3 linked regions of the Daphnia pulex genome follow. The protein of the gene in region 3 purifies or fractionates together with the protein of the main gene of each other region. This does not show direct contact. Links are inferred from orthologs where the notes say so. Each region holds a gene or a part of one and is shown on either strand. Other genes may lie near its edges. The genes, in order: BTB/POZ domain-containing protein KCTD5-like, ring canal kelch homolog and cullin-3-A-like.

The links.
Region 1: the proteins of cullin-3-A-like (region 3) and BTB/POZ domain-containing protein KCTD5-like purify together in Drosophila melanogaster (affinity purification with western blotting; 4 studies listed by BioGRID, with this or other methods). This does not show direct contact. The link is inferred for Daphnia pulex from reciprocal best matches to the Drosophila melanogaster genes Cul3 and inc.
Region 2: the proteins of cullin-3-A-like (region 3) and ring canal kelch homolog purify together in Drosophila melanogaster (affinity purification with western blotting; 3 studies listed by BioGRID). This does not show direct contact. The link is inferred for Daphnia pulex from reciprocal best matches to the Drosophila melanogaster genes Cul3 and kel.

What each region holds. Positions count from the first base shown.
Region 1 is NC_060023.1:11,049,717-11,058,961, forward strand, and holds BTB/POZ domain-containing protein KCTD5-like, read right to left. Parts: upstream 4,119-9,245; 5' UTR 3,970-4,118; exon of another isoform or gene 3,868-3,969; intron 3,804-3,867; 5' UTR 3,802-3,803; coding exon 3,604-3,801; intron 3,545-3,603; coding exon 3,248-3,544; intron 3,181-3,247; coding exon 3,061-3,180; intron 3,002-3,060; coding exon 2,972-3,001; 3' UTR 2,805-2,971; downstream 1-2,804. Other genes in the region: lactosylceramide 4-alpha-galactosyltransferase-like, read left to right, coding at 1-94; uracil-DNA glycosylase-like, read right to left, coding at 454-603, 671-849, 947-1,035, 1,098-1,140, 1,214-1,364, 1,438-1,626, 1,689-1,817; ragulator complex protein LAMTOR2-like, read left to right, coding at 2,186-2,253, 2,333-2,368, 2,436-2,562, 2,622-2,768; beta-TrCP-like, read right to left, coding at 4,270-4,600, 4,662-4,739, 4,811-5,085, 5,154-5,288, 5,350-5,475, 5,540-5,716, 5,780-5,887; L-xylulose reductase-like, read right to left, coding at 6,957-7,060, 7,134-7,197, 7,266-7,319, 7,380-7,481, 7,561-7,666, 7,731-7,983, 8,061-8,112.
Region 2 is NC_060028.1:8,913,682-8,923,828, forward strand, and holds ring canal kelch homolog, read right to left. Parts: upstream 6,902-10,147; 5' UTR 6,620-6,901; coding exon 6,561-6,619; intron 6,484-6,560; coding exon 6,340-6,483; intron 6,270-6,339; coding exon 6,041-6,269; intron 5,976-6,040; coding exon 5,800-5,975; intron 5,728-5,799; coding exon 5,631-5,727; intron 5,571-5,630; coding exon 5,414-5,570; intron 5,352-5,413; coding exon 5,242-5,351; intron 5,179-5,241; coding exon 5,066-5,178; intron 5,003-5,065; coding exon 4,825-5,002; intron 4,761-4,824; coding exon 4,620-4,760; intron 4,556-4,619; coding exon 4,463-4,555; intron 4,393-4,462; coding exon 4,230-4,392; intron 4,164-4,229; coding exon 3,991-4,163; 3' UTR 3,666-3,990; downstream 1-3,665. Other genes in the region: ankyrin repeat domain-containing protein 17-like, read right to left, coding at 8-785, 1,132-1,288, 1,368-1,575, 2,828-3,226; uncharacterized protein LOC124209560, read left to right, coding at 7,149-7,218, 7,421-7,815; uncharacterized protein LOC124209561, read left to right, coding at 8,392-8,449, 8,518-8,700, 8,769-8,989. UniProt on the Drosophila melanogaster protein: Component of ring canals that regulates the flow of cytoplasm between cells. May be involved in the regulation of cytoplasm flow from nurse cells to the oocyte during oogenesis. Binds actin.
Region 3 is NC_060026.1:11,979,653-11,989,770, forward strand, and holds cullin-3-A-like, read right to left. Parts: upstream 4,992-10,118; 5' UTR 4,814-4,991; coding exon 4,748-4,813; intron 4,674-4,747; coding exon 4,476-4,673; intron 4,409-4,475; coding exon 4,223-4,408; intron 4,164-4,222; coding exon 3,960-4,163; intron 3,894-3,959; coding exon 3,714-3,893; intron 3,644-3,713; coding exon 3,449-3,643; intron 3,372-3,448; coding exon 3,024-3,371; intron 2,966-3,023; coding exon 2,858-2,965; intron 2,793-2,857; coding exon 2,551-2,792; intron 2,480-2,550; coding exon 2,353-2,479; intron 2,296-2,352; coding exon 2,126-2,295; intron 2,065-2,125; coding exon 1,926-2,064; intron 1,869-1,925; coding exon 1,741-1,868; intron 1,672-1,740; coding exon 1,647-1,671; 3' UTR 1,427-1,646; downstream 1-1,426. Other genes in the region: 60S ribosomal protein L8, read left to right, coding at 5-142, 329-470, 649-867, 1,040-1,314; fibroblast growth factor receptor 4-like, read left to right, coding at 7,323-7,401, 7,553-7,707, 7,781-7,937, 8,021-8,166, 8,305-8,521, 8,596-8,720, 8,799-8,874, 8,965-9,189 and 3 more.

The sequences.
Region 1 (9,245 bases), on a different chromosome or scaffold from region 3:
CCAAGCAGTTTCAAAAACTTCCGAACAAGTATACACCAAACTTGCTCGTTCCCAATGTCCTTCGATTTTTGCGATGGCTCCTAATGTGTTTTAATAGTTCGTATTTCTACAGCGGTAGAACCGTCTCTCAACATTTGGTTTCCTAATTCTTATTTTCAAGGTTCATTCTTCAAAGAATACAAGTTTTTCTTAAATACATAAATGCATTGCGCTGCGACTAAAAAATGCCAGCAAAACTTTCTAGTATCAGCATATCCATAATTGTTGTTGGCAATAGAAAATTACTGAAGATCCATCAGCAATTAACAAATTGTTTTTTTTTTAAATGTAAAATTAGTATTGCTCTTGGTTTAAGATGCATTGTGAATCGCGTTTTGAAACATGAATATCATGGTTGAAAACATTTGAGGCAAGAGTGAATGTAAAAACTGTTATAACCTGAGGTTTGACTGTTCACTCAATGGGGAGTTTAGACCAGTCAACTGGTGTTTTGTTTTGCTTGAGCAAAAGTTCATTACATTTTGAAAAATGTTTACATCCTAAGAATCCGCGATGAGCAGATAGTGGAGAAGGATGAGGGGCATTCAGCAAGTGGTGTTTTTTCTACAAAAAAAGAAAAGAAAAAAAAACATTAATTAAGCATGAAGTCGTAAACAAATGAATTGGTTACCTTGTCTACTACTAAAGCTTTCTTCTGGGCATATGCACCCCAAAGAAGGAAGACAACACCTTGGCAGTTACTGCTAATCCACTGGATCACGGCATCCGTCAGAGTTTCCCAGCCTTTGTCTTTGTGCGAATTTGCTGCGCCCGATCGGACCGTTAAGCCAGCGTTAAGAAGGAGCACACCTAAATATGTGAAATATCAATATAACAATTTTACGTGACTCTTATTTGAAGATTAAGACAAACGTTAAACTGTGATTGATTTTGTTTAAATGTCTACCTTGTTTGGCCCATCCAGTGAGATTACCATGTTTAGGAATATTAAAACCATCAATATCTGAAGCCAGCTCTTTAAAGATGTTTACCAAACTTCAAATAGTTTTGCAAAAATTAGACACAGTAGTTTTTAAAGTAAAAATTTTAAATATTACCTTGGGGGAGGAGGAACTCCTTTCAAAACACTGAAACACAAACCTTTTTATGAAACAAAAATGTAATGTCAATTCTTTATCTTAAAAGCCATAAAAGTAATTATTTTTTACTATACCATGAGCTTGACCAGGACCGTGATATGGATCTTGACCAATAATAACAACTTTGATATTTTGAATATCACAGAAATGGGTCCAAGACCACACAAGATGTTCTGGAGGGAAAATGGTGGACTTTGATCTTTCAGAACCCAGAAATTTACTAAGCTAAAAACAAAATAATGTAGGTAAATGAAAATAATTGTTATTCAAAGTTAAAAAAAAAGAAACATGTACATACTTCACCAAAGTAGGGTTTCTTAAACTCTGGCTCAATTGCTTGAAACCATGAATGACCAATACTATGGTGTAAGGCACAAGTATTCTTCGCTTGCAATTTTATTTTCGCTAACAAGTGGTTAGTGCCCATTCTTTCTTTTTTTTCAGGAGTAACTACTTCAGTCTTCTCACCAGATTTTTCTCCAACAGGCTAAAAATGAATAGACTTTACAAAAAATACCAGGCATGTATACACAGAACAAAAAAACCTACTTTGTTTTCAATTTGAACATTCTTGGCTTCAGCTGTCTTATTGCCAGACACAAGTTCTGAGAATGTACGCTTCACACCTCCACTTTGAAGAGGTTTAAAAAAATGAGTCAAAGGTTTTTGAGGCGGCATGATTTCTGACTTCAAGAAGCAACTTTAGTTCATTGTAATCATGATTGTAATTAAACACCAAAGTCAAAATAATCGGGCGCGAAATTCACCTTTGGACCAATCTGAAATGAATACATTAAGGCCACCTACAGCAGAAGAATTTGACAAGATTGAGTGAGAAAAAATTCCCTGGTCAACGGAAGGGGCGCTGCCGCTGCCGCTGCCTGAAGAAGAGATTGTCAGCCTGGCCTGGTTATGTAGGAAACATCCGCATTCATTTGTTTTTTTTTTTTTTAGTAAGAGACTAAGAGGAGTAGTGAACACTGAACAGCTGTACTCAGCCCTGACTCAGCTTGTGTCAAAACAGAAGATACCAACAAATCTAAAGAATGTTAAAACCAAAAGCTCTTACTCAAGTCTTGTCTCAAGCAAACACTGGCGGAATCTTAAGCACTTTGTAATATGGCGTGATACCTTAAAATAGTTAACGATTGTTAGTTATTTTTATTTATTTATTATCTTAATTTGTTATGCAGGCTTTTAAATACGGAGGGGGCGTTGCTAGCTTACAGGTGAGCAAAATGTGTTAAAATGTTTTACATTTGTTTATAGTGTTTAAACAATTTTGTGGCTTTCAAGTGGTTATGGGGACAAGGATGCACGAGTGACAGCAGCGATAGCTAGCAACATTTGGTCAGCATATGCTAAAAATGGGAAAGTTGCCTTCAATGAAGATGTCCTGGAATGTGTTCTTCTTGATTGCATGGTATTATTCAATTTAAAGTTTAGTAAACACAAATATTAATTTTGCCAATGCCTTTAAAGGATGGGAAAGTGGTGATTGCCCAAGTTGCTAATTTACTTCTATGTCTCTATGCTAAAGAAAATGTGTGTTTTGGAATGCTTCATGCTAAAGCAAAGGCATTGGCAGACTATCTTGATTCTCCTCTTCGTCAAGTAGCAGCATCATGAACATTTTTTTATAATACAAATTTGGATCTCCTAAAATTTAATGAAGCTGTGAAGCAGAGTTGTATTGCACTTGTGAATAAAAAGCAACACTTGTGAACAAGAAGTGTCAAAATGGCTGCAACGTGGATAAAATCCCACAAGGCTGGTTCTCTGCATAAATTTAGTTCAGTATTTGGTTCCTGGTACAAAAATCCCATAGCTTATTACATTCTTAACCCTTTCTGCTGAAGCACCTAAATAAAGAAACAACATTTTTAAATGCTTCCATCAATAGTAAATTGCAGATACTTACTTTGGCTCTATCAGTAGGCTCTGTTTCTCTTTCTCTCTTGTCACACTCTCTTGATACAACACACAGGAATTCTGAATGGTCTTCATTCCCATAAGAGTACTGTGACCCAACATTTATTAGCTATATAAAAAAAAGATTAGAATAAATAGTCTGTAGTAACTAATAAGATTGTCTTGTGTGTACACACCTGCTCAAATTTCCATCCATCAGACATAGTTGAAACCATTTGAGTTAATTCATCCTCATGACACTGTAATACACGGTAAACTTGCTTCCTACTTTCCTTCTGTGGTACCTCATCTCTTAGTCTTATTTTATCTCTAATTAACTGGATGAGTTCAGTAATATTATAGAATTCAGCTTCCTCTAGGATTCCTTCTTCAGCCAAGTTTTTATCAATAACTAGTTTGCTATGTCTCAAGAAGTTTAATATTGGTGAAAAATAAGTAGGGTCCCGATCAATCATGAAGGCACCTGTTTCATCCTAGTTTAAAATAAAGAGCATAATTTTCAAGTTAAAATTGAGGTTATATAAAGTAATACTTTATCTGAGGCAAGATTGTTGTCTTCTTGACAGAGTCTGAAGAAAAAAGACTTTGGATCTCTGCAAAGGGTTGTTCGGGTGGTAAGGAAGTGGTGACCCCCCACATTCAAACGTATCCATTCAGACTTTCTGCTGCCAACCCACTTTTCTGAAACGATGTTATTTGCAATCCCGTTCATCTCCGGACATTCAGCCATCTCTAAAATACATTTTAAAAAATCAATTAGTCGCGTTCAAACAACTTTTTTCAAACAATAAAGAACCGTTGTTATCGACTGCTAACCAGCATATGGATTGTGACTAAAAGTCATCAACAATTCTATTCTTACACTCTCAGTCACGATTTGCACAAAAGAATCACCTACCAGTATAGGACTAAAATAGCGAGTTTCACAGATTCAAATCGTTCATTAACATTTGGTTTCACTAAATAAAAATTCGACGCACAAAAATGCGAAAATATACAACTTTGAATCGATAAAGATAATCGATTATCGAAGCAGCCGTGGTGCCATCTAGAGGAGTCTCCTTCAATTGGGTTGAAATGAATGAATGAATAATTTTCTTTTTTTAATTTTTTTAATTGAATTTGAAACAAAACATTTAAACAAAATTTAAAGATAATACATTTTAAAAATAGAATAGCAAAATATTCGATTTGAAGCTTAGGTTTCAAAATGATTAGTAAAGTCCATGAAATACAACATTGGTACTGGCACTTCACGCCTCTCATAGTCAAAATCCCATGTAACAAGGCATCCAATCTGATAATCATCGACAAAAACTTTTAGCTTTTCCACCGACGTGTCCCGAATACCATCAACGCTTGCTTCGTGCCAAGATTGAGTCGATACGCTAAACGTAAAAGTTGGCTTCAATGTTTCTTTTTGAGAATTGATTAACGACTCAAGATCCCAAACGTTCACCCCTAACAGGAAAAAGTCGGAAGACCAACAATTCACGTGGCAACTAATTATGTATTTTTCGCCTACCAGCCTGTAAAAAAAAAATGATAATTTTAGTGTTGATTCGTTAGAAAGAAACAACAAAACATTACCCAATGGTTTTGATATCTCCATCGGTTTGATTCATTTGGCATTGTCGAATGCATGTTCCAAGTTCGATGTCCCATAAACTAAAGGAAAAGAGAGTAAGAGAGTAGCGTATGAATAACAGGTAGCAATTACGCTTTTGCGCGAATCTTACCTGATTTGTTCACGGCCAGCAATAATAATCCACCGATCGTAGGGTTGAAAACTTTTAATAAAAGCTTCGGATTCGGCGATGGTATTAATCAGTTCAAGCGAACTTGCTGATCGAACTTGAATCCCTTTATTATTGCCACCTTGTAGGTAAATATAGGAGTCATCCATTTGAACTCGGCGCACATTAAACTGGTGAATAGTCTGTTGGTGCGTTATTTTCCACTCTCGGGGCGATATTATCTTCCGCAACGAGAGGGTTTCGTACTGACAACTGTTCTATAAGTGTAAATTGAAATACATTAATGATTCACTCACAACAGTAAATTAGAATTATGTTAAGTTACGTTGGTAATACACGACAACAGCGTTTTTCCTGATGGACTAAACCGCAAGTAACTGCAATCCACCCTGCTTGCCATGACGTCCTGAGCGAAGCTTTCACAGTTTAATAAGGCTGGATCGTCTATAAGTTTGTGAAGCTTCCGCATTCACCACTGTTCTTATTATTGTGGAAATGATCAAAATTAAAAGTCCTCTTACCAATTCTTTTGTTTTCATACAAAATACGAAGATTTTTCCACGATTGCATCCAAGAGCAAGATATTCGCTAGTCAAATCGATAGATTTCATCATAGCTCTGTGACTATCGACTCCAATATCGAAAATCTAATATTCAATCAATATTCAGCTCTAAATGTATGGAATTTACAAATGAAGTTTCAGTTATTACACTTTCCGACTGCAAAGTCCATCTATTAAAGATCTCGATCGTCTGGGGACTTTGACGTGTTACGATGTACTGGTCGCTCAGTTTTACTTTGAAATTTAGATGCTCTACAAATCCTGCATAAGGCAATTTTTTTACCCGTTGATAGGCCGTCTTTGTTATCCAGTTTTTCTCCAGAGACTAATTGAATTAAAAATTGGTGTTAAAATTGATACTTATTTACGGGTTATCCAATGTCCAAACCTTCAAATTATCCCGGATATTTCGATAGAGATCAAGGTAAAATTCTGAATAGTTGTCATCCTCTGTCGTCTCGGTTGCGAAACCTTTCTTAATCAAGACTTTGTACATTTTCTTCCAATTTACCTAGTGAAACCTTAATTAGAATTGAAGGAAAACCTATATGATTTGGAGCAAGTAAAATTTTACGTCTTTATCAAGAACAATTTTCCAAACTCTTGCATTGTCGACTGCCTCTTGCCATGCGGTAGAGACGGAACGTGCGTTGAGTAGACCCAGACAATCCACATTCTGGAATATTCCTTTGGCAATCAGATCAACTGAATGCAAACAAAATAGAGTATTTAAAAACAAGGCTCATGTAAACTGAATACCACCAAAATCTGCATAAAGGTTGACAAATGTAAAAAGTAAAAAACATTAGAGATGTTTTTGTCATCTGAATTCCCTAGCGTCTAAAGGGGTTCAGTATCCGGCTAGAATTCTCGCGACTGCCATGAAATTTTTCAATATTACTTGAAATTCGTAATATAAACAAATGTACATTGCTATGTTCGGTATGACAGACACACAAGAGTTTGCCTTATAAGGCGTTATGAACGAACGAACAAAAAAGCGTTCACGTTTCGTACCTTGAAGAAGAGAAGTAATATCGACGCTAGTACCTCCGTCACGTAAATTGTATGCACAGGCATCCACAGTATTTTCCTGCTGATTGACGATCATTTCATTAGAGTCAGTAAGTTGTCAATAAACTTAAACAAACAAGACAGAAACTTAGCAAAACACTGATTCTCGAACTGTTTATAAATAGTCGTCAGTCCAACGTTGCCACGAAAACGTTTTCCAACATTTCTCGTTTCAAAAACGGAAAAATCAAATAAAACCGACAAAACCAGAGCTCTGACATAACCATCGTTGGTTCTTTTACTTATGGGACGTTTACTCACTAGATTTTGTTATTTTGCAGTTCTGCCACAGTGATAGCTCTTAGTCTGCGGTCTGGTTTTCAGTTTAAACTTTTAACCGCGATTAAAAAGTCTTCCGGAAAAAACAATAATCAACGGAATGTATTATTATTATTATTTAAATTGCAAAAATTTGATAGTCTTTTATTAACATTACATTACCCCAGATTTGAAAAAAAGTTGAAACGCATGTTCAATCTTCGTTTCAAGTTTCAACACGCCAAAAATCCCCCATCAACCGGAAGAGTCGTTCCGTGAATCATGGAAGCTCTATCGCTAAGAAGAAATACAACTGCATCCACTATTTCTTCGACCTCTGCATAATAAAATAAGGTAAGCAGAAGTAGTAAAGAGTTATACTAAATTCAGTATCGCATAATGGAATATACCTGCAAATCTACCCAAGGGGATTCCAGCAAGCATAGGACCTGACTTTAAGGGATCTGACCAACCCTAAAATCAGATGTTTTAAATTCATTCAATTGGTCATCAAATATCTATATGATTTCTCTTCATCTTACCATTTTTCCCATTTCCGTAAGCACAACTGTCGGATTCACACAGTTTACTCGAATCTGTTGCAGAAATCTACATGAATAAATTTCCAAATAAAAAATGAATAAATGTATCCTTACTTTATGTTGCCCTAACTCAAGAGCCATTACTTTTGATAGCATGTCAAGAGCAGACTTAGTGCTACAGTAAATAGCATGATCTCTTAAAGCTGCCTGGGAAGCCTACAAAAATTAAAATTTTTAATTTGATTTCCGTGGAGATTTAATAAGGCAGCATGCATCCATTTGGATTCACAAATACCTGTGATGACACATTTACAATTGATCCGCCTGTTTTATCAGCAATCATTTGCTTTACTACTGTTTGAGAAACATTGACAACAGCTTTAAGATTGACATTGAAGACCCTTTAAATACAATGATAGTTAGATAGGTATTCTACATTACGTAACAGGTTTGTGTACTGCATACTTATCAAAACTTTCACTCTTGATATCCAAAAAGGACTCCAAGATTGCAACTCCAGCATTATTGACCAACAAATCAATGTGACCCAGATCTTTGACAGCTTTTTGAGTTGCCTCCCAGTCTTCAAGGTCTACAATAATGGTAAGGATTCCAGGAGCTTCCTCTTGTAATTTTCTTAAATTTTCAGACGTCTTCGATAACGCATAAACTTTAGCTCCATGTTCAAACAATCGTTTTGCAATGGCTCTTCCAATTCCTTAATAAATAGTAGTGGGGTTGAAAAGGCGATTAAGACTTTTATAGCCATAATGGGTGCTACGACCAATTGCCTACCTTGCCCTGCACCAGTAACCAAAGCTGTCTTTCCTGTGAATTGTATCTCCATACTAAAATAGTGTTTTAAAATGATAATTTATTGAACACTGTCAAATCAAAATGATTTGAGTATGACTGATTGGATCATACAAATATAAGGGCGTCCCTAAACTGCGAAAGCGAAACGCGAAACGCGAAACGCCTAAAATGCGAAACAGCTGTGCGAAACGGACCCAAAAGTTGAGACCTTGTTTCGCATTTTAGTCTTTGGGTCCGTACTAAACTGCGAAATCGGTGTTTGCGAAACGTCGCAGTGTAAACGTCTTGGTAGCAGACGACAATGGACGCCGTCAAGGCGTCAACAAACAAATTGTTAAGAGTTTCAAATTTTCGAGACTTCGAGTTTCGCGCACCTTATGGCTGTCTATTTGTGTGTTGACCATGAATACGGAATACCTTGAATGCAATATGCAATAGGTGTTTTTAATTAGAAGATTGGTATAAAAAAATTAATGGAACTTCTCGTTTCCATGTATCAGTATCAATCAGATTATCATTCTTAATTTTAAGGGAAGTTTATTTAGTTGATTAAATTTTAGCTTGATTTGGAACATGGTAGCTTTGATTTTTAGCTTGATATAAGGCACTCATACTGTTATGATCGATTATTTCTTTGTGCACGTACCTACTGGTTGATTTAAATCATTTAATGTAATGTATGCATTACCTAATATTTTATTATTTAAAAATATCACCATAACGTGCTGCTCTATGTCTTTCATTAGTTTAATAATCGTAAAATGTGCATTAAAACATACAGGGGTAGTGGCGAAGAAATCGAATTTGATTGCCCCCCTTCCTCCTTTAATGCCTCATCATAGCGGGAGACAATGAAAAATGGCGGCAATCTCCGTCAATTTGGACCTCTGTGGAGAAAAGGAAAACTTTTTGTTTCGCAAGATGTTTCGCTCTTTAGTATGCCCTCCGGCATTTGGTCCCGCGAAACGGTCCCAAAATTTTGGTCCGTTTCGCACAGCTTTTCCGCATTTTAGGCGTTTCGCGTTTCGCGTTTCGCTTTCGCAGTTTAGGGACGCCCCAAATATAAGGTAAATAAACAAGCTGAGCAACGCGCCTGCGTTGCCCAATTTCACATATTTGTGAGTATGCGGGGAATTAACGGGAACACAAAATTCCAAAAGAAGA
Region 2 (10,147 bases), on a different chromosome or scaffold from region 3:
AAGTTACTTCTTCGATGTTGGCTCCACGTTCCAGGAGGAGCATGGCTAGTTCGACGTGACCACCGCAAGCGGCCAATGTAAGAGGTGACTCGAAACTGTCGGCCGGCATGTTGACTTGGGCTCCCGAATCAAGAAGGAGCCGGGCAACTTCGACATGGCCATCCATCGAGGCTTCCATGAGAGCTGTGTGCATCTCGTCGGTCTTGTGCTCCTGATCGGCACCAGCTTCTAGGAGGAAACGGACCATCTCTAAGTGACCCTTGTAACAGGCCAGCGTCAGGGCAGACTCTTTGAACTCGTTCGAGTGGGTGTTGATGCCGGCGCCGTGGTTCAAAAGGATCTTGGCCACGCCAACGTGACCGGCGGAGGCAGCTTCCATCAGCGGGGTATGGCCATTCTCATTATGGTCCTCCACGTTAGCGTTGGCTTCCAGTAGGAGGGTAACTACCTCTTCGTGGCCACCAGCGCAGGCGTACATTAACGGCGTGTTGCCCGATGACGACTGGGCGTTGACTTCGGCGCCGTGTTCCAACAGCAGGCGGACAATATCCGCGTTACCAGCCGACGCCGCCTCCATCAGTGGCGTACAGTCGCCCTTGACGCCACGATCTTCTACGTTGGCCCGCATGGCAAGCAACACCTGCGCCAATTCGTAGTAGCCGGCCGAACAGGCCAGCGAAAGCAATGACTCGCCTTCCTCCGTGGTTTCGTGTACACTACGTCCTTCGTCTAGCAAACGCCGTACGGCTGAGACGTCGCCGTCAGTGCAGGCTTCCACTAACGACCTGTAATAAACAAGACAAATGGATGATAAAGAACCATTCTCATTGCATCAAATTTAACAATATTATGGATTAGTTCTAATAGAACATGACCCCCACTGATAGCCAAGAAATAAGGGATACAAATTCAATGACTTCAACCCGATTAATCAGCTCATTTCAACTGCATCCTTCTCTGAGTGATAAAATTGTGAAGGGTTCACACTTTTATCAGTCAACCTCAGTGAATAAATGTTTAGACTTGGATGGGTAAAGTTCGCCAACAACGATTCACTGGCTGAAATCTAGCTATCGTCATGTGTGACCTTTCACAGGAGATAGACGGCCAATAAAAGAAGTTCTTGCTTACCGGGCTTCTTGATGGAAATTGCTAGAGTTTTCGGATCGCATGCGGGTTAGTGCAGCGGCGGCCTCGTCCAGTGCACACGATACACTGGATGTTAACCGACTGAGAACTTCTTGATCGCCGAGCCGTTTGCTGTCTCCTCCAGTCAGTTTTCCAATTCCTGGTAATTTTGTAAAGATAATACACGAAAAGATTAGGAATATTTATTGAAATTTCTGAATTTCTTTTAAAGTTTTTACCTGCAGCCTCGAGGAGAGCTTCAATCCTGGCCTGAGTGTCTGGATCGATGCGGGGTAGTTCGCCAATGCTGTGTCCGTCGTGTTGAGCGGCAGCAGCGGCGGCTAGAAGGAATCGCGGCGCGTCCAGCGACGAGGCCGAAGACGAGGGGCATCGGCAGTCGTCCGCACAGCCCTCCACTTCCGACTCCTCCACAAAAAAAGATTCCACCTACAGGTCAATTCCCATTTTCACAATGACACAAACAACGAAGGAACGACAGTCGCACTGACGAAAACTTAACGACAGAAAACGGATGATGGAGGTGGTAATATTATTCGATTCCCTTCTTTACATTTGGCAAGCGAACCCCTGGGTTTCTAGTTATTTCAATCGCCATCGGGCGGATTTCGGTTATTCCAAAAGCAGAGCCAAAATGGGTACCCCAGACACACCAAAGATTGCTTTAAATAACGGCAGGGTCCTTCGTTCCTTTCAGACTTGACAACAGGTGCTGGTCGTGTTGCAACTAAAGTCGGGACAAGTAACTTTAAAAAATAAAAAAATAAAAACTTTGGAATGACAGCCGAGTCGGGTCTAGCTGGAACGATTTGGACAAAACTGGGACAGTGCTCCGCATTTCAATTTGGTGATTTACTTTCCCTTCTACTTGACATGTTTTCCATAGTTTGAAGGCGGAACTATTCCGCCACTTTACCAAGGGGGCCAACTAACATAAGCTTCACATTTTGGAAAAGAAGGTACTACACCAGTACAAAAACATTTTGCAAATCAAGGGGGCAACGGCCCACCGGAATCCCAAAGAAAGGGCTTCGACGCTCCCCCACCGTATTCCCCCTACATAATCTTTTGCCTCCCTTTTTTTCCCTCTACACATTCTTTTTGGCCAAATCCCTTCAAAAAGGCCCCCCTCCCTCTTTCTCTTTCAACCTCTAGTTGTCCCCCAAGTCCATCCATCTGATTTGCCATCATCAATGAGAACGAAGACCGCTTGAACCCTGACCAAACCCCACGCCAAACGCCGAAAGATGACACGGCATAAACAAGCTGTAGATACGATAAAATCCTCTGGTGTCAAACGACGACTGTTCCTTGACAGTCTGATGAAAACAGCCAAATTAAATGATGCTCTAAATAAGCAAAAAACTTTTGAATCATGGCTCTCTCAAGGAAGTAGAGCAGCAGTGAAGTAAGTCAGGAAGAATAACTTTGCAAGCTTTCAGAGGGGGAGTCCTATTTAAAGCTCAAAAGAAAGGATGATTTAACTAAATCTAAGCATCGCAAACACAATAAGCATTTGTACTGATGCCGATATGTTGATGTAGGGCTGACCAACACAGGATGGAACTAAACCAGGGGGACATTTTGATTGATAAGATTCCACTGGAACTGGGGAGTTGTTTCCTAGATTGGTGAGCTGAGAGAAAAAAAGTAATCCTATGCCTTTCAGGAAGCTACTTACCGAAAGGACGTCGTCACTGTCACTGTCAGAAGAGTCAGGCATAAATTGCTGTTGGTATGACCGACTCTGCTTGACTTGTTGGATAGCTATCTCAGTAGCTAGGGCTGTTGAACAAGAGTTGGCTAGGTCTGTCACAGTAACAGTCTTGTGATTCAGATTGGGTGGTGGAGGTTGATGATGATGATGAGTTGATGTTGGGTGGTTGTTGCTTCTGCCCGCGATGTGATTGCTCTTCGGGACGGAATTGCCTTTGCTAGGCTTGCTCGGCTTTGCACTGGCAGCGGACGTCGCAGGGGCTGTAGCTGCTGCTGGGTTGGCCAATGCACGATGCCCGACCTCGTGCTGTTTCACGCAGTTCCCTACACTTTCAGAAGCAGAATTCTGTACCACATTCTGCATCTTCAACAAAGTAGGCAATTGTCGAATACATGAGCCAAACGGCCGTTTTTGATCGCCGGCGAGCTTCTTAAATTAACGAGACTTTTCTTTGATCCAAAAATGGGGACTTATGATAGCCTTTTGGGTGTATTGCAACGACGACAGACTCTCCACTGACCTACACAGCCGCCATTTGTCTACGTTCATTCGTACAGCCCAATGGCTAAAAAGGCCGGATGTCTCTTAACGCCATCTATTGGACATGAACTTGATTGCTTGGGAAAATGCGGGCTTTATAGCGACATCTATGACTGATTTTAAAAAATAAGAAAAAACGAGGTTTAGAATTTAGATGGTTTTTTGTTTTCGTTATTCTCAATTCTCAACTTAAACATAAAATAAGGATAACTAATAAATCCTAGGTATATTAAAAGAAGAGTTTTGATATAAAAACACGAAACTTGAATAACCACGATGTATTCAAAAACTATTTTTCGTACGGTTGGATACAAGGAACACAAAAATAATTCGTTAATGTACGCGATGTTTTTTTTATTCGATTGTTTCACATCGAAAGTAGGTAGTGTTTGTTTTGCAAGACAACCCCAAACCCTAGGATTTTTGGCAACATAAATAATAAAAAAATTACGAGATTACCATTCGAACATCGTATGGATCTAAAAGCAGCGATAGAAAAGGCAGCCGCACTGCTGTCCCAACATGATTGGCGAATTAAAAATGAACATAATGAAAAATTTAGGACAAGAGCTCTTTTTCTTGAACATTCATGAAGGCCGGTTAATGATGGCTATTCCAGCATAACTGCGTCCGATACCCATACATGCAGGTAACATTGACCAAGTATTGGCTGTGGGGTCGTAAACTTCGACCGAGTTTAAATTTGTCGTTCCATCATCACCTCCAACGACGTAGATTAGACCATCGTGAGTCACCACACCTATTAAAGGAAATGAAACACACAATAATTGAAATGCTTAGAAATGATTATGAGTATGAATCTTACCCGCATTTCTCCGACACAGCGACATATCCGCTGCAGATGTCCACGATTTCGTTGCAGAATCGAATTTTTCAACTGAACGTCGAACCATGGGTCCATCGTGACCACCAATGGCATAGAGAAAGCCGTTCAATACCCCCACACCAGCTCCGCTACGTCGGCAGGCCTGACCATAATTACATAATCCATTATTAAAACGTCTCCATCCGAACGGAATATGCGTTTTAATACTGTACCATTTCCCCAACTAAGTTCCAAGAATCGGTTTCAGTGTTGTAGCATTCAACCGATGACAGGCAATGCCTCGAAGCCCCATCGTATCCACCAACCTTAAAACCAAATGCTAGACTTAGTCAACTCTTATCTACACGGGTTTTTGTTCTGCATATTTACCGCATACAAGAGACCATTCAAAACACCGACGCCAACGCTGCTGCGCCTTGTATTCATGGAAGCTATTGCACGCCATTCTTGCGTTGCCGGGTCGAATTTCTCAGCAGACATCAGGCCAGTCGATCCATCAAATCCTCCGACCTGGGGTAACAACGAACCACGATCAAAGGAATCCGCACAAAAGTTGATTTTTCTTGAAGCTTACAGCATAGATGAAATTATTCAAAACGGCGACACCCAAGGTAGATCTGCGCGTCTCCATGTCAGGAGCTGGAAACCACTGATCCAAATTTGGCTCATAGAGATCAACTGTGCGCACTCGTAGGGATCCGTTGAATCCACCAATTGCATAAATGCGTCCACAAACAGATGCCAAACCCGCTCTGATGTAAGAAAAGAGAACGCAATCAACATTTGTTTTGTTCGTAGAAGTTGAAGATATTTACCTGCAACGTCTAGTGGGCATTTCCGCCAATTGATTCCATTTCTCGGTTTCGAAATCGTAGCACTCAACTCCGCGAATTGCTTTCGGACTTTGGCCACCAACGACGAGAAGAAGCTAAAAAGTATTCAAAATTAAAATTCGCCGAGGTTTGATAAAAGTAAAATTAAATCAAAATACTTTCGGCAAGCCGATTGGTAATCTTGGACGAGTTCTAGAAGTTTGATAAATCCGCTTTTGATCAGCTTTGAGCAGATGATACTTAAGAGCTTCAATCAACAAATCTTTGCCTATGAAATAGTTATTTTAATAAAGTTGTCTTAAAATTTTCAACTTATTCACGGATGCTTACAATGAGCATTGGATCGCATCAAAGTGTTGGTCTCGACATGTTGCAAAAGGTAGTCTTGGGAGAGGAGGGGAAGACGAACATATTCCATAAGGGCAGGTAATTCTGAATTTCTACTAGCGATGTCGGCATTCACCCAGTTCATGACAGCTTCGTATACCTTAAGAATAAAAATAATTTTAGGACAAAACAACAGCACACTTTCAATGAAATTTTAAACCTTTTCTTCCGAAGGTACTGTCAACTTGTCACTACTAATAATACGTATCACATCTTGGCAGTTTAGACTGGTGAATTCTTCTCCGTCTACTACGTCACTGCAACCAATCACCAAATTTTGAATTAAATGTCAAGTTTCTAATAATTGGGAAAATTATTTGCAGTAGTACCTAAAGTGTTGGGAAGTATATTTGTCAGCTAAATTCAATAGATCTATGCAGCCATGGAGATCAGCGAACGCTCGGATTCCAAGACAGTTGGAGGGATGCAATTGAGTGACAAGAAATTCACTACAAGCTTCTTTGACATCAAACATTTGCAAAAGATTCGCGGCCGGCAGCAAGATCTGCACAAATAACTTATTGGAGTTGCTTTTTTATTGTAAAGCTAAAACAATTAATTTTTTTTAACCTGAACATTATCTTCATTGACTTGAATTTCAGAAGAATAAACATATTCTAGCAGGAGTCCAAGGGCCTTGGGATCCACATCTTGGAGAACAATTCTGTTCTGATTACTTTCTTCAAAGCAACTAAACATTGCATGAAAGTAAGGACTGCAAGAAGCTAAAACTGCTCTATGAGCAGGGAATTCTTCTTGATTTGTGGTTATAAGGACAACATCACAAAGAAATTTGTCTCTGTTCATAAACAATAAAGAAAGGAAGTGTTACTTCATGTTTGAGCATTGAGAAGGGAAGAAGAGCATACTTTCTCATCATGTTGAATTTCGCAAATGATTTTGAAAAGTGATCTGAATTGCGATAAGATGGCCTCTCAGGAGAAGACTGGGCAGATTCTTTCTGAGAGCTTTCATCGAGAGAGTTTTGACTGGCATGGCGTAGGAGAAGCTTGCTAAAAAAAGACGGGAACATGATTAATAATAAGAAACCATATTTTAAGCCTTACAAATGAAAAGTTGTAAAACATACTGGACATTTAGATGATCTGTAAAATCCCTAGAAGACGAACTATTAGAACTAGTCGACATAGCGGGCAGATCAAATTAGACGACCAACATCAGCTAGGTTTAAAGACAACACACAATATGGAGGTAATATTCAAGACTAGATGACACAATTTCGTCACTTTTCTTGATCAATATCAAGCGTCGCGCACACAATTTGGCTCAATCAACGACTTGTTTTGGTTTGTTTTGCTGGTTTGGTTTTCCGTTGTGCGCTAAAGCAGTCGACACTAATTTCAAGGCCGTTCTTTATGGCTTCCGCTTCTCCCAGCACACAGCACAGGCTTCGGCCTTCGGAGCAGGTTTGATTTGCTTACGCAACATTTTTCATTTTCTGTTTAGAAAATCGATAAAGCAATATGTTATTGAAAGCAATTCAAAAATAATTGGAAGATGACGTAAAAGAATATTTTTTTGCACTTGAACGGTTTCTCATATTTTTGAAATGGCTGTCGGAAAGTAGTGCCACCTGGCGGTTAATATATGAAGCCATTACTTGACGTGACTTGACATCGCAACGCTGTCTCACCTGTCTTGAATAAAAATTTAAGAAATGGCACCGATTCGATCCTTGGGCGTGTTCGCCAGCATTGTTATATTTTATTTATTTGCTATCAGAGAAGGTATATCATTTGTTTACTATTTAAAAAATCAAGCAATTGAAATTTTGATTTTGCCGTGTTTATAAAATGTCACCGAAACCACTGTAGAGCGATTTGAACGTGTGCTTGTTTTGACGTTTTCCAGCGTCTTAAAAATACAAAAATGCTTACGATCTTAAACGAAGAATTTTGAAGCTAACCTGTTTTCTTTTATTTCTTTTAGGTACTGGTATCAAATGCTGGGTATGCAGATCCTTGGAAGATCCCAAATGTGCTGATCCGTTTGACAACACATCCACACCCTTTTTCGACTGTGCCACCTTCCCTGAAGTAACTCACCTACCAGGTGTGAAGGCCACCATGTGCAGAAAAATCCGTCAGAAGGTGAATGGAGAGTGGAGATACATTCGCTCTTGTGCCAGGCTTGGAGAGCCTGGTATCGGTGGAGATGAACGTTACTGCCTTCAAAGATCAGGGACATTCAACATTCACATTGAAAGCTGTACCTGCAACAGCAAGGATGGATGTAATGCCGCCAGCTCAATGCTACCTTTGAATCTCATGATGTTAGGTTCTGTTTCCTCAGTTTTAGCCCTATACCACCTCAACAGGTTGTAATGTGTGTAATCTATCTGATTTATCTCCACATCATAGTAATATGAATCTCAAGCCATTTTATTCATTCCATTCAAGCCGTCCAACCGCCTGAATTTTTACGCCGTCCATAAAGTGCCTTTTTATCAGTGAAATGAAAACGACTACACACATGTAGAAAATAAACGATTGTTTTTAAGTCGCTGATTTATTATTTTCTTTGCTTTATTGGCCTTTCCACACAAGGAAACGAAATATTTCCCTGTTTTATATCTGACAGACTGACACGCACCTCGATTCATTGATGTATTGAATTTCACTGTGATCGTATTATGAAAAATAAAATCGTGTAAAAGAGATTTCTTTCTTTATCTTTTTTTAAAGCTAAAATTATATTTTTTTTAAATGTTTTTTTTTTAAATAAATTCAATTTTCATCGACTCTAGATGAACGTGGCAACCGTGTATCTTGAAAGTTCCTCAACAGAATTGTTTTGGGCGGTGGCGTTTTTTTGATCACCTTTTTATAAATGCAAATTATTTAAATAATATCAAATATACCTTTTTAAAATCTGCAAGTGAATCTCACTTGAATTTTTCAATGGCTGCCCAAATTGTGTTGATTCAGTTGTTCGTCATCACCTTATTCGTCCAATCAGGTATGAAATCGACACTCCATGTTGTTTACCTGAATTGAGCACACAATGTCGTTTTTATTTCTCCACAGGTTTTTCCATCAAATGTCACCAGTGTTCTTCCAGCCAAGATGCCAAAGGGCAAGACAATTGCGGGGCCTACAAATTGTTTGACACCAGAAAAAGTATACCTGTAGACTGCAACAGCGATGAATCTGTTACACCAGGAACGTTCTGTGTAAAAATCACGCAGCAGGGTCCCCGAAGCTTTGTCTGTAAGACCAAGATCAACCACCCAATTTAATGCTGAAGAATTTTAAACATAATTTTTTGTCTATCTCAGGGGATGGACGCTGGAGACAGGTCATCCGTCGCTGTGCATCTGTGGCCGACACAGGTGTGACAGGTGTGTGTAATTGGGGAGTGAAGGAGAATGGTGTCTACTGGGAGGAATGCTACTGCGCTCAAGATGGTTGCAACGGCAGCAGTCATATCTCCACAACCCTTTCTGCAATGATCCTGCCGTTGTGCCTCTCCATATTCATGAGATACTTTGCATGGTAGCCTCACAAGGTCTCATATTTCCCTTTCTTTATGTGAATTATTTCCCATCGTAAACATTTTCTCAGCACACAGTGCCTTTAAGCGGCTGATCTGGTAGTTAGTTATACCTTTTTGCACACCATTTGACAATTCAGCATTTTTTCTTTTTCAAAGAGTGTGATGTTACTTAAAAAACAACACGTACATATCCGTCCAGAATCGTGCGTAACCATCCGTCCCTTTTTGTTTCGTTCCAGAGTGAAAATGTCTCTCCCAAAAACAAAACAAATAGAAAAAAGGAATTTATTTTATAGTGAAAAATACTGGATGCTGCAGGTTGATATACCAACGACAATTCTTGTAGAAGAAATAAAAAAAAAGATGAAAGTATTTGGATGCTTTTCTATACTGGATATCATGATGGATGTTTTGTCATTCTTTTCGCACTGACAAGAGAGAGAGAGAGGAAGGAAGCCGCAATGCATCACACCCGGTACTACCTCTTGGGTATGTCAACGTTGCAGTTAGATCACCATTCTGCCAGCAGTCGGCGAAAGAAGTTTTTTATTTTCCCTCGTAAAAGAGAAGAAAAAAAAAGAAACTGTGAAGCTTTCCGGTTTCTTTTTTCTCCCCCTCTGTTCTTCCTTGACAACGAGAGAAAGAAGGAAATAAGTTCCAGGAGTCAGGAGTAGCATCCTGATATCATAGAGCAGCCAGCTCCTTATTGTATACCAGAAGCGGCTGCAAACAAACAAAAAGTTTTTAAGTCTTTTTTCTTTTTCTCCTATACGTTTTAACTGTTTTTTTTTATTTCCTGTTTGCGACGGTATTCGCGTATAGCACCCACAAAAAAAGAAGTTGCTTCAACTTTCTTTTCTCCCCCCCCCCCCCCCTCTCTTTTTGCCCAGGGAACAGGTTTGTATTCACACGCAACCAACCCCCTCCCGTCCTGGGCTGGAGTAAAAAAAAGTGAGTGAGTGAGAGGGGGGTGAAGTAAGAGAAACGTGTAAAGCATTTCCGTCTGTGAAACATTTCGAGGGTTGGCATGTACTACTACGTAGCAGCAGCAGCACTGGAAATCTTTGCTACGTGTTTCCGGGGGCCATAGCAACAACAACAACCGCGACTCTCTATACACTCTAACCCGAAACTCTTTTACAGACATATCAAGACACAACT
Region 3 (10,118 bases):
CAAGATGGGTCGTGTTATTCGTGCCCAACGTAAAGGTGCCGGAGGTATTTTCAAGTCCCATACGAAGCATCGTAAGGGAGCACCCAAGTTTCGCCCTGAAGATTTCGCTGAACGTCATGGATACATCAAGGGAGTCGTCAAGGTATGTTTCTTGGATCAGAAATGAGTTTGACAATGTGGGGGGAAAGCAGTGATGTAAACATATAATCCAATGCTGAGGGGCTATGATATTCATTCATCTAGAGGTTGTTTCTGAGAACTCTATTTAACTTGAAACTTTTACTGTCAGTTCTGACAAGTGGTTAACGAAAAACATTTTCTAAATTAGGATATCATCCATGATCCTGGTCGTGGAGCTCCCCTAGCTGTGGTCCACTTCCGTGACCCCTACAGGTACAAGACCAGGAAAGAGAACTTCTTGGCTGTTGAGGGCATGTACACTGGTCAATTCATCTACTGCGGCAAGAAAGGTATGCATAACACCTTGGTTTTTAAAATATGGGAACACAGTGATGTAAACTTAATATCCAATGCTGAGGGTCTATGATAATCATTCATCTAGAGGTTGTTTCTGAGAAAATTAAATACTTTTATTTTTAGTGTTTGTCTGAAAGGAAAAGAGTAAATTTGTTTTTTATCTTAATACAGCTACCCTCCAGATTGGCAATGTTTTACCTGTTGGCACCATGCCTGAAGGTACTATTGTCTGCAACGTTGAGGAGCAACACGGTGACCGAGGTACCCTTGCCCGTACATCTGGTAACTACGCCACCGTTATTGGACACAACACTGACACGAAAAAGACCCGTGTCAAGCTGCCTTCTGGAGCTAAGAAAGTCGTTTCTTCCAGCAACCGTGCCATGGTTGGTAAGTTGAATTCGAAAAACGCGTTATAAATACTTGGGCTATGATGAAATGCAATTCATCCATCTATGAGAATAATGATCTTTAACTAGAGGCTGTTACTGAGCAGATCAAAATATTATTAGTCTTGATCTTTTCAAGACCAATTCTTAATCACTTTCTGTTTTCTCGGTAGGTATTGTTGCTGGTGGTGGACGTATCGACAAGCCCATCTTGAAGGCTGGACGTGCCTACCATAAGTACAAGGCTAAGCGTAACTGCTGGCCAATTGTCAGAGGTGTAGCCATGAACCCCGTTGAGCATCCCCACGGAGGTGGTAACCATCAACACATTGGTAAAGCTTCCACCGTCAAGAGGAGTACTCCTGCTGGTCGCAAAGTTGGTCTTATCGCTGCCAGGCGAACTGGTCGTATTCGTGGTGGCAAAGTTGAAATTAAGGGTGATGATTAAACATGTTGTCATCTTGTACCTCCTACCAATACACGTCGGAGCAGACCAAAATATTTTGTTAAATTTCATTCGCATCTGATACATTACATTCGTTGAAAGAAAAATACTGAAGTCAAACGTTAAGTTATGTTGTATTCATTCATCCAATTTAAGAGTTGGTTCATAGTTCTTATTGAAACTTAACTTGAGGACAAGAGTACAAGACATGTTTTTCCAATAGCGAAAAACTTTATTTACAAAAATCATCGCGCAGCAAACCAATGTCTTATCGAAAATTCAGTTAGGCAATTGGGAAAACCAGTTTAATTTTAAGGAAGCAAACTCGAATTAAACTAGGCCACATATGTATACACTTTCCTATAAAAATATGTAAAAAATTTTTTTAGCTCAAGTCTTTTTGATAAAATAAAATGTTTCTTATAGCACCTGTCCTCAGGAGTGCGAGCCAAGTATTCACGTTCAATTAAGCCTTCAATTCGTTTCTTAATAATAACTGGCGAAGGCAGAAACCGGCTTTTCAATTGTTCAGTAACTTCGCTTACCAACAAGTTGTGCTAATAACAATAAAAGTCAGCGACCCATCCCATTTCAAATTTTACGGTGTAGTTTACCTGCATAGATTTTCTTGCTTTCATAATGCGTACAATGGCTGCTTCAATTTCGTGTTTTCGGTCTTCGTCGACCTTGGAACGCGTCTCTTTTCTTTCAGGCTCTGATTCTCCCTTGGCTGCGACTGTCTGGATCTTCACTCTGCAATTCAATATTGTTGGTCGTCAAATAATAAATTTTCTAGATCAATTGTAAAACAAACCTGTGGAGTTTTGACGTGAAACTATCGTTGACGGCAAAGATAGAACTCGGGAGGATGTCTTTACCCTTGGGACTTTTGACAAGAACGCGTTGAGTCGGTTTGCCCATCGCAAGCGATTGCAATGCACGATCCAGATCTTTTTTCGGAACGTCAGTTTCATTCATGATATCCTATAAACAGCATCAAATATGATGAATAAGAAATCATTAAGTTCTACGTGCTCTTACTTCGTAAGTTAGCCTATCTCGGGTGTTAAACAGCATAAGAATACACATCTGATAGGTTGAAACGGAGATTATGTGTTTTCGCGGTCCATTAGCTGATGACGAGGGTGTTGACGAGCTGGGGCCATCACTTCATGGAATCAATCGAAACATTCGATAAGATATGCTCAGTATATAGAGACAACATATAAATGTTCTTACGTTTTTTCTTTTGTCTCAGACTCCTCTCGTCTAGGTCCATAAAAGATTGCGCTCAGATCAGCCGACCCTAGAGCGGGTTGTAGCGTCAACTGTCGCCCACTGTGCTTTGCTAAATAAAATCGGCGAAAGACCTCAAAAGCGTTGCGTGGTGCCAATGGTAGTGTACAAGTAGCTGACGATTGTGTTGGCCAGAATCCAGTTGTTAGTACGCGAACACTCAAGTCCACTCCGTAAAGGGAGGTCTAATCAATAATCGATGGTTGGAAGGCCGTTTTATAATTGCATTTTTTTACTGGATATTTCTTACCCCAGAAGTTTGAATGTGATTTTTGAAGTCTTCCATGAGCATGTTGGAGATAGACATATCCTTGAACATGCCCTCTAATTTCGAGGTAAATTGACACCCACATTCAGTCTAACAAAGTAATTAAAATGTTAGTACGAGCTCAATAAATTGGAAATGAATAAATTACCTTCAGCTTAGAAATCATGTTCTTCTCGCTATCATCGCTAACAGATTTGTTCAGCAGCAGGCGCTTGGCCAAATGTTGTTTATAATAACGCTCGAAAATATCCTTTTCCTGGAGAAAACGGAACAAAACCATGGTTTTGTCGAGCACCAGTTCTATGTCCTGCTCTGTCATTCCTTTAACGCCCTTCTTGAGCTTGTCATCGATAAAGAGTGATAGATATTCGGGAGATTTCAAATTCAAATTAAGAAAATATTCAAAATCTGAAGAGATCATTTTCTTAAAGATTGGATCGTTTACGAAGGATTTTCCCAGAAATGTATCATAGCGATCCTTAAGATCTAATAGACTCTATAGTGTCATTAGAAATCAAAATGAAAGAAATCATTATTACAGAGAGAAAAAAAGGTAAATTTTAATAAAAATACCTGGACAAAATTCAATGCATTGGCACCGGATTCGTCGACATTAACCAGTGCTTTGCCTTCTTCTCGTAAATGCGCGCTGACACAACTAGCCATGGTTCGCAAACCATCCGCTACACGACCCAACAACTTGTACATACAGTGTAAGTCGTCAGTTTTCTGGCATTTTAACATGTGTACTACACCAGAATTTTCCATCTAGTGTGAAAACAAGAATTATTTTTCTGTATAGCATTTTTTAAAACACACTAATCTAAGTTTTACACACCTCAACAATCGTTTTCATGTGTTTCTGTATAAGTTCCTCTTCAACTACTGCAACAATACGCTGCTCGGTCGACTCATCCAAATAATGTTTGGCTCTTTCCGATTCTTCATTAATGCGCGCCTCGACTTTCTTTATGTAAACTGAAGCTGAATTCTCCCCTAAAAACCGCTGACTCTCAGACTGTGAAAGCAAAGTAAAAAAATAATTAAATAAATTGTAGAAAAATTAACAACCAAGTTTTTGTACCCTGTAGAATTCTGCAGATTGAGAAAGAAAAGGTCTTTCAAAATCCTCTTCATAGACAGCTCGACTGTCTATACCCAGCACCATGAGCATTTGACAAGCTGCTCTAACAGAAAGCTTATCTGCAACTTCTCCTTTACGCTCTCTGACAACCATTTCCAAAAGAATATGCCTTAGGTGGTCACGAATGCCTCCATAACGAACAACCTTATAGAAAGTTCAATTAAAATCAAATCCAACAATAAACTATTGAATTAGGCACTTACTTGATCACGAAAAATAATCAATCCAAGATTGTAAACATTATCAACATTATTTTGTTGAACATAAACTCTGTCCATGTACATGAGGATGTCACGAATCATAACCATAGATGTTTGATGATCACTCCATGCTTGATTTAGAATGTGAAGGAAATTGTTGTTCAAGGAAGAAAGCACATCTTGACGAACCTATGTGAAAGTGATCAGGCAAAATCTTTAGTAAAATTGAAAATTTTTTGAGCAAGAAAGATATTACTTTAGATTCTAAATGATGAGTAACAACTTCTCTAAGGCCATTGTACAATCTCTCTCCATGTTTGTGTAGAACCATTGTGTATGCATTTCGGTAAAGTTCTTCAAAACTAAGACCAGAGTTATTCTTCTTCTGAATTTCTTGAATGGCATTCTTCAGTAAACTCCAAATATTTTCCACATACCTCTCGTCCATCGTCATCTTTATTGAGAAAAACAAGAAAACAATAACAAAGATATTCTAATGCCAGAATGAAGTGTTATAATAAACTTTACAGGGAATGCACGAATTCGCATTTTTCCTTCTTTCTTTGAACCGCCGCCGAGACCACCTTTCATCATCGTGAAACTCACTCAAATTTAAATAACGAAACGAAAAAAATACAAGTATCGGCCAAATATTGATAGTTCCGAAACCTTTAAAACGTTTCCATCAAACTAGTTGGCCCCCCTTGTAAGCAAAAAAAACAGGGCAACCTAAAGGCTAACCTCTCTTTCCTTCTCTTCCTCAGAAAACTCAACGTTGTATTTTGCCATCTAGCGGCTAAATTGAAACACATCCATCTGAAGGACAATGAAAAATGGAAATCACCTCCACGCATTTTTTATTCTTTTTAAAATACGCATCGACATTGGCCACTCGCAAGAAAAAGACTTTATTAAATATCATTGATAAAAAAATTATTCGTTTGTTTCATTTCCGTTCAAAAAATGCTCATAATAATAGCTAGGGTTAAGGGTTGGCAGAAAATTGTGTTGAATATTTAAAAAAAAGGCACTAAAAGTAAAAAGTCACATTCACTGGAGAACTCGTAATGAATTATGCGCTTTGAGTCAGACAGTAGCATGCTCCTTGCTAATTTTACTAATATAAATGTATTTATGCATATCTGTGCCTGCCACAGCGCCGTGCGCATTGTCGTATTCTTAGGGAAATCTTAGCTCTTATCTCTTATTAAAAAAGAAAGGACTTAGGAAGGACTTACATAATTCGTTGTAATCTCGGATTCAAATTCTCTCAGCTTCGTTTCATTGAAACCCAATATCGCAAATAAATTAAGAAGGATTTATGCTTAGCCACCACGACAACGTCCAAAGACTTATTTATATTCTGAATAAACTATTATATAAGGAAAGCTATAATCAGGAGCTTTGTTTAACTTTAGCCAGTTTACTGTTGTTTTAAAACCAAGAATATCCATAGACTAGAGGTTTTTATTTACTAAAATGGAATGAAGAATGGAGGATGGGGGAAAAAGTGTTAGATTGTCATTCATGTTCTTATACAAAGCACTTGTGTAGGTAAACATCCGATCGCTTCCAGTAGTTTCCACTACTTTTTAAAGGAATCATCATATCTACAAAGGCTAAAGACTCAAACAAGATGTAACAATTAACACCACACCACACAGCACACATTATGAATCCAAGCTTAGTTGGGGGCTAGCCATATTCAGATGGTTATCAATCATCTGAAAAAGTTCAGGGGGTTGAGGAACTCTACCAGTTTCCATTTTAGACCAAAGTGGAACATCTGTAACAAAAATAATGATAAGTAGGTAAGTTAATAGGGAAGTAATGAATTCAATGAAATCTCACCATTTAATGTGATTTCAAATGCTCCAGTTGAAATTAATTGGCCCTCAACAGCATTGCATAGAAAGAAAGTCATCAAGCACGCATAAAATTTGTTCTGCTGAGTCCACTCCCAAACTGAGGGAGTTTGCACACCTAAATGCTCAAAAATATTGGTTCCCGACACCACTACAAGGATGAGCAGTATTTTCAAAATTCCCTGAAACAAGCAATTATATCATGATAAAGAAGGGAGTTTGTTAACTGTATGTTTAAAACAGACATACCAAAATAGATGCAATCTTTTGGTTTAAATAGGGTGGAGGATGGTTCTCTCCTTCGATTGCCAAAGATGGGTATTTCTGTTGCAGAATTACAGCATACTGCTCAAATACCTTGCGGTAACCTCAGGAAGAACTGTTAAAGTTGATTATTAATTTATGAACATGAATAACAGAAAAATTCACATTATTTTTACCAAAAGGTGAACTTTATTGAAGGCCCAGCGAATCGATTAAAATGCAAGCTTGGAATTTCTTTAGATTGCACCGAATTTTCTTCTGGCTGCACATCAGCCGGGAGAAAAAAATCTTTCATTGCAAATGCAATGAGTAGAACTCCCAAGCCAATAATTGGCGCACGACTTCGATCAGCCATTTTTTTTAGCTGAAAGAAAAGAGTTTCTTTTATTAAAAGATGATTCGCTTCGTTATAAGACCATAATCCCACTGATTGAATGTATGACTGCCACACGCTGATTAGGCTCTCGTTGTCGTAACTCGCACTAACTTGCTAGTCATTGTGTCAATAAAATACCGGACGACCAGTGGAACGTCGTAACGGCGGCGCGTGGTAAGTAGTGACATCTATAATTTTGGTTTGCATCCATAATTAAATTTCACGCAATAGTAAATAACGCATAAAAGTCAGCTTTTAATGTATGTAGAAAGTTTTGTGTGGCTAAATAAACAGAGAAAATAATGGTGTTAGTTTCTATAAATCGTCCTTGTCGCCCTGTCCATCAATTTAAAGGTTTTTAAGTTGCGCTTTTCTCATTAGCCAATAACCGGTCAGCTGCTCGTGTGCCAAAAAATTGGTGTCGTTGATAATATGTTTGATAGATTGAAAACGGGCGCTTGCCGGTTGGGTCTCGAGATGGTATAGGATAGTGACACAGTTGATTTATGGACATTAATGGACCAATATTGAAGATTAGCGGTCTTGTTCAATATAGGCTAAGCTGTAAGTAAAGTGAATAATTAATGCGTCAAACAAAATGAGTTTTCAACGTCGTGCTTATTTCTATCAAAATTCAAATTTAGCGAAAAAGTCTGCGCTGATTCTCATCACCTCAAGTAAGTCAATAATCTTTCGTGTTCCGAATCTTCCGTGCTCTAACAGAATCAAAGGCTTATTACTATAATAATTACCAGTGAATATCATTCAATTTTAAATAACTTTTCATTACATTTATCGTCTACTATACCGAATTTTTGAAACACTCAGTATGCTTGTCATTTGGAGTAGCCGCGCCACCGCCGAAACCATCGTTGCCTAACAATTTAGAAGATCATAGAATCAGTGAAAAACCATTCACAATCAATTGTATAAGTCACGATACCAGCTTCACTTGTCCGATAAATTTCAATCTGGAAATCAAGGTAAAAAAAAATAACACTAAGACTCTTTCAAAAAAGAACCTGCGTTATTGTCTAGCTTGATCATTACAAACAGAATAAATCCCACAACGGTCGTTTTTTGGTTAGCATTAAAAAAATTAATGGTATCTTCAATGTCAACTTGGCAGTACAAAAAGGAAGCTATTTAAACACGGGGTCGTATAGTTGCCGAACAAAGACGTCAAATCATTACATTTACATTTTAGTTGAAGGTATAAAATATTCCTTTACTATACTTAAAATGTATTATATCCTTGATTGACTCAGAAGTAAGCAGAGACACTTATTTTGTTAGATCCGTATCATTTGTTTCCAACCATGAAACCTGTTTACCAAATTGATGGGGTTGAATCCGTAATTCCGTGCAAGCCGACACATCCGGTCGTCAGGATTCAGTTACTCCAAAAGATTTTCCTGAAAAACACGACGGACTTGAACACGGTAAGTTCATCTTCAAACATCATCTGATATTCAGCGGCACTTTCGTCCTAAACAGCTAATCGAAAGTTTAAGTGGAACAAAAACATCGTGTTGTTGTTCGTGAAATGTGTAACCTGTTGCATGTTTTTCGGCACTCAGACGAGGATCGTCTGCCCGCCTAAGGAAAAGCAGGATGCCAAAGATAAGAATGACCGAATTTCGACACATGATGCGCTTCAGGGATTCCGTTTATTGGACCCAGCTCAAATAGCGAATGTTGAGGGTATCTATGAATGTCGGGCGGAAAAACGATCATTTAACGTGTCAGAAATTCAATGGGGTGTACGATTTAAAATCATCCCCTGTCCAGACGACGGTATAAACGAACCTATTTTGTATATTGTATCAAATCCTTCCCAACCTATCTGAGCAATCTACTTTTATTTTTAGAACGACCTCCCGCAACAGAATCGGAAACGGGCAATTTTCAATTTTCGACGTCGTTTATTCTTTCTTCAACAATTGCATTTCTTGGATTTATTACTCTGTTTAGCTTGGCGATAGTTCTGATCAAGGTGCAATAAAGAATTTTTTCTTATTCAAATTAAATCAAACATTTTACGGGAAAATTAATAACATTTAATGAATTAAAGATTAAATTAGAATCGCGAGAAAAAGAAACGGCTGAAGACCCTCGCTGGGAATTCCCTCGATGTCGTTTGAAATTACGTAAGTGAAATTGTATACTTAATTTTCGTCGTTTTGCTTTAATTTTTTTAATTGGAGTATTATAACTAATTTTAATGAATAATTCAACAGAATCTCAATTGGATGTCGGTTGCTTCGGACGCATCCTGAAAGCAGAAGCAAAAGGGATCGTACCCAATGAACCCGTGACTACAGTGGCGGTAAAAACTGTTCATTCAAATGACGACTTCAAAGCTAAACACGGTCTGCTAGAGGAATTCAAAATTTTGTCCCAACTTGGACGTCACCTCAACATCGTCCATCTTCTAGGCGCCTGCACAAAATACACGAATAAAGGTGAAGCATATAATTATTGACAAAATAACAACTTTTGAAAATAATAAAATCATTCCTGATTTGATTTCGCAGAACCTTTGTTGATCGTCTTCGAGTATTGCCCGTTCAGTAATTTGCGTGCACATCTGATAACTTTCCGTCACAGATTTTTCAGCGAATTGAACGAATCCAGGAATCTGATTCCTCGGAATCATTTTCACGGTCAAAATAATACCGAGAACCGCACTTTCAGCACTCGCAATCTCATTTACTGGGCATATCAAATTTCTCGCGCTATGGCATATCTTGTTGTCAAAAAGGTATTACACTTAAGTCGTTAATATGTCAAACAGTAAATGATTGTTGAAAACGTAGGTTTTACATAGAGATTTAGCGTTACGTAATATCCTTCTTACCGCTAATAACATTGTTAAAGTGTCGGATTTCGGCATGTCACTACAAACTCATTCCGGCATCGAATCACGAAATAACGAAGTATGTAGCACTGCTATTTTCAGTATATTCTTAATTCAAAATTGTCATATTACTTAACCAGGAATTGTTACCAATTAAATGGATGGCGATTGAATCGCTGAAAGATGGGCTATTCAGCCACCAGTCTGACGTGTGGTCCTTTGGTGTGGTTCTGTGGGAACTGTTCACCTTGGGGGAAACACCATATACCGTGTACGCCAAGGCGAACAAAGATTTCTTGGTACGAATTTTGTTGATGGGGAGGCGACTCAAAAAACCCACAAACGCACCCGAGTTTGTCAGCGCGATCATGTATTCCTGTTGGCGCTCGGAACCTCTACAACGACCCATTTTCCACGAGCTGGAAAAGATGTTTTACGCCCAACTGGAACCTCATGCCGTGCTCGAGCTAATGAAATTGGATGAAAATTACATCAAAATGAGCAGGGAACGAGATATGGAAACGGATACTCCCT